2 linked regions of the Drosophila melanogaster genome follow. The protein of the gene in region 2 interacts with the protein of the main gene of each other region in a pairwise test. Each region holds a gene or a part of one and is shown on either strand. Other genes may lie near its edges. The genes, in order: Cpr12A and RNaseZ.

Region 1 (3,808 bases), on a different chromosome or scaffold from region 2:
AGATGATTTTTTATGGCCTTTTATGTTTTATGGCTTAATAGTCGGGCCCACAATCAAAAATGCAAAAAAAAAAAAAAAAAAATGGAGCTGCCAGTTGAATTCATTCCGCAAGTCAGCCGAGCGTTGAACTCGTTTCCCAGGTATCCTGTCGGCACTTAATAAATTTATGATGAACCTTCGCACACTCGAGAGCTGCGAATCGGAGATTCCATTCCCATTTCGTTTCAAATCGCTGCTGTCTTACACTCCAAATGAAATGTATTTTGTAATTTCATAAATACATAGATATATACATATACATATAAAGTCAGATACTTAGATTTATACATTAATTCTACTGCACAGAATAAAATTGATCAATGAAATTATTATGTAGGCAATAAGTGCGGTAATTATTTATTAAGTCAACTTGTTTTTTTTTTTGCTGAAAATACCTTATAGTTTTTCTCTGTGCACTGGACATTTTCTTGTTTGGTTTCGTTTTCGTTTCTTAATTGCCCTCGGCTCGAGAACCTCGCCAAAAATGTGTTAAAAATGCAAAAATATGTCCAGATCCAATATGTATATATATTTATATATATATAACCCCAGGGTGGCGAGGGGCCGCCCTGCACTTGTATGTTTTATTGCCCGAAACGCTTTGTGGTAAATTTATTGCCAAATTGTCGGCGACTTTCGAAAAATCGCGAAATCTTCGCAACGAACTCTGGTAAGGGGGGCTGGAGGCGCGAAGGGGCGTGGACAGCAATAAAAAACAGATCCACAAAACAGCTACAAACAACTGGAAACATCTTCAATAATAAATTCATAATTTTTCGCTGCTTTGCCTTAATAAATTTTTATTATTTTTTAATCCCATTTCATTGAACACAACAAAAATGTGGACAGAAATTAAATTCATAATAATATAATACGAGTAGTCGGGGGCACAAAATTAAAAAAAAAAAATAATAAAATAAGGTATAAAAAACGATGTAGGGAGCCAATAATAATAATGGGCATGGTGTGCAATTACGAACTCTCAGTAGCGGCCCCTACGATTTGTCCCCGCCCCCCTGGGCGTGGTCGTCGTGATGGAGGGGTTACCATGGGCATCCAGACGGGATTGAAACTGAGATTGGAACTGGGAACTGGAGACGCCATCAGATGCCGCGGATGCCGCAGATGCCTCGCTGACCATGGGCACCTCGATGGAACGCGGCAGATTGGGATATTCCTGCGGCGTGATCGCTGTGGGCGTAGCAAAATAATATAATTTAATATAAACCAGATTCGAGTGGAGGGCTATCTGTGCTCTTGGGCTGAAAATAATCGACGGGTGTTTGCGTGTCTTATTAATTTTCGCTGAAAGAGTTGCGATAATGGTTGGCTCGTTTACATTAATCATTTCACTCGTGTTCAAAAAGAGCCGTCATTCGTGTGCTCTCACTCGAAATAATCGATCTAGTGTATCAAATTATATAAAAAAAAGGGTAACAAAGTACACAAATCATATCCTTCCTATGAAAATAATTTGCTTATTTATGAATATTTTAGTGTTTAATACATAAAATATTTCTAAGAATGAAAGCCCCTTGTCATCACTTTGAAATTCTTTGTGATCACTTCACACCGAAAACCGCAATTCCGATACTTACACTGATTCTGTCGATAGCCAAACTGATCGGCATTGTAGAAGACGGTGATGTAACGCCCGTCGGTCATCCGATAGGCATAGTAGCCCACAACCATCAGGGTCTTTACATCGTTGATCTTAACGAAATATCCACGTTCATAGCGAGCGGTTCCATCGTCCAACTCGAATCGATACTCGTAGCTGCCGTCGGGATATCGGTTATCGAATCGATCTAGTAATCGCGCACTGGGCGCCGACTCTTTGATCTGCTGGGCGGAAATGAGGGTGGCGCTCAGCAGGAAGATGGCGAACAGGATCGAACCGGAAGTGGCCATTTTAACTCGGATCGGTGTGAATGTGTGTGTGGATATGTGGATGTAATGTGATTTATGGGTGGTGGTGGGATGGATGTGTGGGATGTTTGGGCTACGCAGGTGGATGGTGTGTGTGCTGTCGCGCGATGTTTTCTTAGCGGTTTAATTCGGAAACAGTGTAACATTGGCTTTTTATAGTCGACATCGAGAAGGCAGCGAGGCGAGCAGCGCAGTCGGCGGCGACCGAGGCAGCGAAGATCTTTAGCCTGAGCTGAAGCGGGATATCCGAAAGGGTGACTGAGAGCCGAGTACACGGCTAGAAAAGGAGTTGCGCCATTTAACCATTAAAAATCCTAGCAATAAGCCAGCTAACTGCATTACAAAATAATTAGAAGCTTAAGACTTATGAGGCTCGTTTATATTTTATTTGTATCTATCAGAAGTCATGAAATATTTTGATAAAATCTATATATATATATTTGTAGAATATAATGCAGAAATCGTACCTTTTTCGCTCAGTGCACGCACATCTCTCTGAGCCATTGCCGTCAAAAATTCTCGACGCTTAATCATATAAAAAAAATCTTAATTTCATCTACTTACACACATGCTTATCGGTGTGCCCAGCTCAATGGGTTAAAGGGGGCGGTTGGGGCGGGGCAGGGGCTGGACAGGTTGCTAACTGGGCAATTTGGTTGCGCCTCTTTTGTGTGTTTGCTTTTGGCGCTGTTCGCACGGCCGCCAAATTGCTCACAATGGGTTAACCAGTGGGTTTCGATAATGTTGGCATTCCGGGGGTTAAGGTGGAAAGGGGGCGGATGTGGCGGAAAGGGCGTGGGGCTAAGCAATCACAGTTCGAAACTGATACGGCAGACATAATCGATTTGCAGCCAATTGATGGATGGCCAGGGAATCGCTATAAAGTGCCTTTTGTGCTAACCGTTGAGAATGGCTGTTCAACAACTAATAGGCAATTAAATTCATGTCTTTATTAGGCTGTAGAAAATATGGTTGTTTTAATTTGTGAAAACACTTTAGATATATGTATATAAAGACTGAAGTGAGTAGTAGGTATCTTTATCCGTCGAATCTATATTGCTGGTTTCTATGCTAAATATACTATTATATTAAAGCTAATAAGCTGGTGTAATGATTTATAAAAATTGTATAACATTAAGCTAAATATATTTATGGTTTAAGACATAAAGATATAAGGGAAGCGGATCCTTAGATTGCAGCCCACGGTGCTGGGCAGCAGCTAAAAATACTACAATTCTTGCACCCTACAATTTGGCCAGCCAGTACGTGCCGCCTGTCATCGTTAAGCTGAAAGGCAGCGTATTCCGAGCGGTGGAGATGCAACACCAGGGGCGGCACATGATCGGTGGGGGGGGGGGGGGGTGCGTAGGGGAAGGAAGATATGGAGCAGCAGGAGCATCAGGAGGAGCGAACGAGGCGAGCGTCCTGTGGCCAATTAGGGCTAATTTATGATTTCAATCATTTCTTAATTGCATTTAATGTGCAGCGATTTAGCGAACACAGGCCTGGAATCTGGCCAGCTGAATGCCAGGGGCGCACAGGGGGTTGGGGAAATGGACCCACTTGGTCAGTCGGCCAAAGTTAATGATGTGCAATTGAGCCGGGGGGTTCGGGCAGCCGAGAAAGCCCATGAAGCCCAGGAAACGCAGGAGCTCAGGGACAGCGAAACTTATTGGTTAGTGTTGCTCGGGGGCAGCTGTCAATATGTCGACACGGACTTATCGCCGTTTAATTAATTTGCGCACACCTCAAAGGTCACGCCGGTGCATTAAGGCCCAGTCACCTCTTAAGCAGATAGCATTTATGAAATAATTTAATATTTTTTGCTTCTTATTTTTAG
Region 2 (5,519 bases):
GGCCTAGAGGAGATCGATCCAATGATCCAGCCCCCGGAGCGGCGATCGTGCCTAATCTTAATGAATTTGTAGTCTAATACGAGGAGGAATCAGCGTGGCCGGGGCAAAGGCAGTTCTATGATTAACTCTGATTTGGTTTTACTGGATTATTTTATGTTGTTGTTGAATAATTCTTATCCCGCTAATTCTGCTGCTTTCGTTTTGCCGTATTTTAAAGCTATTTATTTATTTTTAAACAGAGCATTAATTTTATCAATGTTGGAATTACGTTTATTTATGACATCCAAATATTAACCAAAAGTTGTCCCCTCCACCTCCCCCACTCCAACACACACACACACCAAATATCGAAGGACCTTAATTAAGATCATACATACATACATATGTACTTTGTCGTTTACCTACTAATTTTAACTAGTCACAGCTAATTTCCAAAAAGAATATCAATTGCGAAAAAAAGAAGAGACCGTTGAACTAAAGTGCCTTAAAGTTGAAATTTAAATGACTAAAACGATATAAAATGTTTCAAAGTGCTAAGATTCAAGTGCCCTTGTTGAGTCGGCAGAGTGGATAATTACTATTGATAATTATGAATATTATTTATGATATTGTCGTGTCCGAACCAACAGAAACCATTTTAAAAAATCTATACAAAAATCGTTTATTACACAGACACTGTTGCAAGCGTAATTAGTAAATAAAGAAGAAACTAAAAAACAAAATGGATTATTTTATATTTTTATTGGGTTTTTGGGTTGGATCATACAAATAACTTGTAAATGATGCAAATGCAAATATCACAAGCATATACAGATACAAGCAAAGGTGCCCTATTAATTTCATATATAAAATCTATATATCTCCAATTAGTATTTGGGCAAATTTTATGGTTTCAAGAAATAACATTAAACTTAACAAATACCACTCAACTCTGACATAAGATTAACAGTAGCTCCTTGAGTAACTTATACTGACTATCCGGATTAACTTGCCGGCAATCACGTTTCTGCCAGTTTTCGCTTTCGCTCCTGTTTCAGCTCCCGCTTGACAGCCCGCTGCTCCAGTTCTTCCGTGTACTCGGCGTACATCGCGAAAAGGGCGGGGTAGAGCTTGTGGTAGTGCTGCAGATCCTCAACGGTCACTTCCATATTATCAAAGGCTATTGCAACTCGTTGCATATCCTCATCACTCGGTAATCGCGGGCACTTAGCGTAACGCTGCGAAAAGTGGGAGAGAATCGTATGGCGGGCGTTCATATTCCGCCCCTGCTGAATAGCCTGCGACACGGTGCTGTGCGTCTTTAACCGCGCCTCCTCCTCCAAGTCATCCTCCATTGTCGCCTCGTGAATAAGAACGGTGGAGTCGCGGCCCAGATCGATCAGATCCTGACATGGCATAGTGTCGCCGCTGTAAGTGATCTTGACGGGTTCGCTATTGTGCTTTGCCGCCAGAGTTAGGCTTATTCCGAAAGAGTTGGGGCAGTGCCTAACTAGGCAGGTGGATATGGACGTAATTCCTAGACGTTCAACTTGTTCACCGCTCAGGGGACTAGCTAGGAGTTCACCGTTGCCCACTAGAGTATACGCATCTTCTACGGTTTCTATTTGTCGATTGTAGAACTCCAACCAAGGTTCAATTTGGCGAGGAGCCAGCAGAATAAGTGGGTCTGCCCTAGGTTTTAATTGCCTCCTTTCCCGGAGCAGACCAATCAATCCAATGTGGTGGTCGGCATGCAAATGGGATACATAAATCGCCTGTAGCTGGCGAAGAATCAACTGCCCTTTCTCGTGTCCATATAGTCGTACAATTTGACCATAAGTTCCTTCTCCACAATCCAACAACACGTAGGCATCAATTGCAGTCCTGATCAGAATGGAGCTCACGTTTCGCGTCTTATTGGGAATGCAGGAGCCTGTGCCCAAGAAAATTATCTTCGGGTAGCTATCGGCAGAATTGTCAGGGAAACTATACTCTTCTTTGAATTTGGCCAATAGTTCCAGAAATCCTGGTACGGCATGGGTCTCCTTAACATACTCCTCTGGTGTGAGTTTGGACTCAAGAGTGCGATCCAGACCTTCAGGTAATAAAAATATACTTATAGCATTGAATGGTAAGTAAAAAATAGTACCAACCTTTCCTTGGTCTCAGGTGATAGTTTGTCATGGCGACCACACCCTGTTCTTCTGTCTCGTTAGCCTTTGCATTTGCTTTGTCCTCCGAATCGGCCTCGTCCAACTTCGTTTTTTTAAGGTTTAGACTGAGAGTCTGACTCTGGCAGGACAATTGTTCGCCCAGGAGTGGAAATACTTGCGGTGCCAGTTGGTGGAGTTGGTGTTGAATGCGATGGGCGGCTGCATAGCCTGAGAATTGGTTGAGGGGAGAACTTAAGTATATGTGCTGTGCCTCAGATGAAAAACTCTCCACCACAAAATCCTTGTACACCTGACGAGAAGATATATGATAAGGCGTGAAGTGCACCACAAGCGCCACTTCAGTTAACTTCTCTTCGCCTAACTTTTTAAGCCTTTTGCCGTGTGTAAGCAGTGCTGGTAGATAGTTCTCACTGGGCACATCAAGGAAAACAAAGGACAGTGCAGTTTCACTGGCTTCGGTGACGTCGACTGAACGCACCACCTTTCCATCAGGCAGTGTGATATCGTTGCCATTCTTTAGCTGTCCCAGAAGTGGTCCTGGCGGCACACCTTGCTCCACGCACTTCACCAAGTTTAGGGCGCCAGCTCGCGGTTTCAGCTGACAAATGTAGTTAATTACACTTTTCGTCGGATCTTCCGAATTGATCAGGGGCAGAGAGTCCACCTTCAAGATGGAATCCTCAAAACAGGCGCCCTCAGAACAATCGTTTGGCCGCACCTGGAGATTCTTTAGCACCACGAAACGTCGCATTGACTGCAGCATAGAGCCGAGATGAGGCGGTCCATGGAGTCCAATGTCGCGCACTCCGGCATCTTGGATGGTGAGCGTCAAACCTGGTAACCCTCCGCAGGAAGCCCACGTATTTTGTGTAAGGAAAATTTGTTCCAGGCGTGATAGGCGGGTTTTGTGCTCGTGAGCTAGTCTCTGGGTTCCCTCGCCGCAGTTGAAGAGATAGCGTGCCTGGTCCGTAAACAAATAAACAGCGGCAGGCGCTCCATTGGCGCCAGAGCCCAGAACCTGAAGATTTACTGTTCCCGGCACCACGGAGGCCAGCTTTTTTCTAAGCACATTGGGTTCCCGCTCATAGCGAGGTCCTGTTAAAGGATCCTTGGCCGAGGCAATTGTGGCCGCCATCAAATTACTGGTTGTGAGCGTTCGCAAGGTTCTGTAGATCGGCGACCTGGCTGATTTTACTAAATACATTCGTATTTCGTCAGAGTCTGTAGTCGCGGGCTTCTAATAAACTGAAAAAGCGGGGAATTCGCTGAAATCATTCGCACAAATTTCGTCAGCACCGGCAACGTGTGTCTGCGAACAGCTGTTGCTATTAGTGATGGCACGCTGATGGTTGCGATACATCGAAATGGGACGATAGTAAAAAATAGAAGAAAAGTGCTAAAAGGAATTAAATTTAAGTTAAAATGATTCTTGTCTAGAAAATTGATTATATTTTTCTGTTGTATTTTACAGTTTTGGAATTTCTAGATATGTTTTAATAAATAAGGGCAGTAAATTATTCCAACTTTATATTATTATTAACCATATCAATGAATGTTGAATTAAAAATTAATATGTTAGATTAAGTAAATTCCTATTTGCGTACTTGAAATCGGTCTTAGGCAACACTGAATTTCAGGTATTTAAGCCTCGAACGTGATTGGTCACTCTAATGCCCACGTGCGTTTTGTTTGGCCTCCGCCGGCGGTAAATTCAACCAAATTACCTGAAATTCCAAGGATTCCCCGGTAAACAAGAGATCAGCGACTGCTACACCATGGTCTTCTTCACGTGCAACATCTGCGGCGAGTCGGTAAAGAAACCGGCGGTGGAAAAGCACTACCAGACGCGCTGTCGCGGCAAAGACAAGAACGTGTCCTGCATGGACTGCCTAAAGGACTTCTATGGCGAGGAGTATGTGGCACACATTAAGTGCATCTCAGAGGCCCAGAAGTACGCCAGCCAAAGCCAAGGCTTTGCCGCCAAGGAGCCCCGCAACAAGAACGCTCAAAAGCAAGAGAGTTGGATGGACATCATTCGGTCGATCCTCGACAGCAGCGAGTACAATTTAACTCCAGCCGTTCGATCCGCCTTCCAAAAGCTCCAGAGCGTCGACAACGTGCCCCGCAAGAAGGCTAAGTTCGAAAACTTCGTGGGAAACTGCATGCGCATGCCCCGCAACCAGGCCACCCAGGTGTGGGATATTCTCGAGAAGGAGCTGAACAAGATGAAGGAGGCAAAGCAAGCGGAGCTGGCCAGAGCCAAGGCGGAAAAGATTGCTGAAATACAGCAGAAGCAGAAGGCAGAGGTCGAGGAAGAGGCGCCACCCAAGAAGAAGGCCAAAGTGGAGACCACAGAAGATGCTGCTGCCGAGGAGACCTCCAACGGCGTGACCAGCGACTTTGATTGGGCCGCCCAGCTAACTAAGATCGTTACCAAGCAAGCAGATGGCATTTTCCTGGAAAAACTTCGTAAGAAGCTGCTCAAGAAGTATGCCAAGCATCTGTCCGTCGAGGATTTGAACGAAAAACAGGCGAAGAAGTTTCAGAAACGCTTTGATAAGCAACTTAAGCTCGCCGATTCCTTGGAAGTCGAGGGTGAAATAGTTAAGATCGCTAGCTAGCCGAATATCCCACCTTTAGTCATAGTTTAATTATAACAAAAGGACAATAAACGTGTAAGCTGGAAGTGGTGCCCATGTATTAATCCCACATCTAGGACTTGTACTTTAGATACTGCATACATTGCTTCAAATGATTGCGTGTCTCTTCGCACTGGGCTGTTTGACGGAAGCGCTTGGTGGGACAGTGCAGGATCATCTCGTTGGCCACGCACTCGAGGACCAGTCCGGGATACGGATGACAGCCAAGACGCGAAAGACGTTTGGATAGCTGCTTCACACCTTTGTGCGGCATCAGTGAGAGCGCTGCAAAGGGTAGTTCATTTAGAGATGATTTAATAAACAACTCGCGCAGCTTGCACACCATGCTTGTCGCACTTGACATAGGTGTCATAGAGAAGCTTAATGTCCGCATCGTTGACCAGGTCGCTTTCCAAGTGCTCCTTTACCTCATTGAGATTCAGTGAACGGCGGTCCCTGCCCAAGAAGTTCGTACTGTTGAAACTGCACTCTGCGGTGCACTGATTAAGCAATTAGTTTGGTACTTGTTTACGCTCCTCAACCGAACTCACAAACATGTACGTCTGCTCCTCTTCATCCGTCTCGTATGGAATCTTTTCGTGCCACTCCATCTGGCAGTCGCTAAACTGGGGACTCTCGTCGTGCAGGTCGCAGCAGAAATCATGCTGCAATAAAAAGTTGTACCCGATCATCATTTTATATGACGATTTCATTGTCTGGCTCTCGA

What was found.
Region 1: the proteins of RNaseZ (region 2) and Cpr12A interact in a two-hybrid assay, tested with the Drosophila melanogaster proteins (one large-scale study listed by BioGRID).

What each region holds. Positions count from the first base shown.
Region 1 is NC_004354.4:13,541,916-13,545,723, reverse strand, and holds Cpr12A (cuticular protein 12A), read right to left. Parts: upstream 2,082-3,808; 5' UTR 1,951-2,081; coding exon 1,638-1,950; intron 1,231-1,637; coding exon 1,022-1,230; 3' UTR 817-1,021; downstream 1-816.
Region 2 is NT_033778.4:10,306,307-10,311,825, forward strand, and holds RNaseZ (ribonuclease Z), read right to left. Parts: upstream 3,489-5,519; 5' UTR 3,358-3,488; coding exon 2,133-3,357; intron 2,075-2,132; coding exon 999-2,074; 3' UTR 724-998; downstream 1-723. Other genes in the region: CAP, read left to right, coding at 1-7; CG12909 (uncharacterized protein), read left to right, coding at 3,929-4,774; Obp46a (Odorant-binding protein 46a), read right to left, coding at 4,866-5,077, 5,136-5,292, 5,344-5,457. UniProt on the Drosophila melanogaster protein: Zinc phosphodiesterase, which displays some tRNA 3'-processing endonuclease activity of nuclear and mitochondrial pre-tRNA. Probably involved in tRNA maturation, by removing a 3'-trailer from precursor tRNA.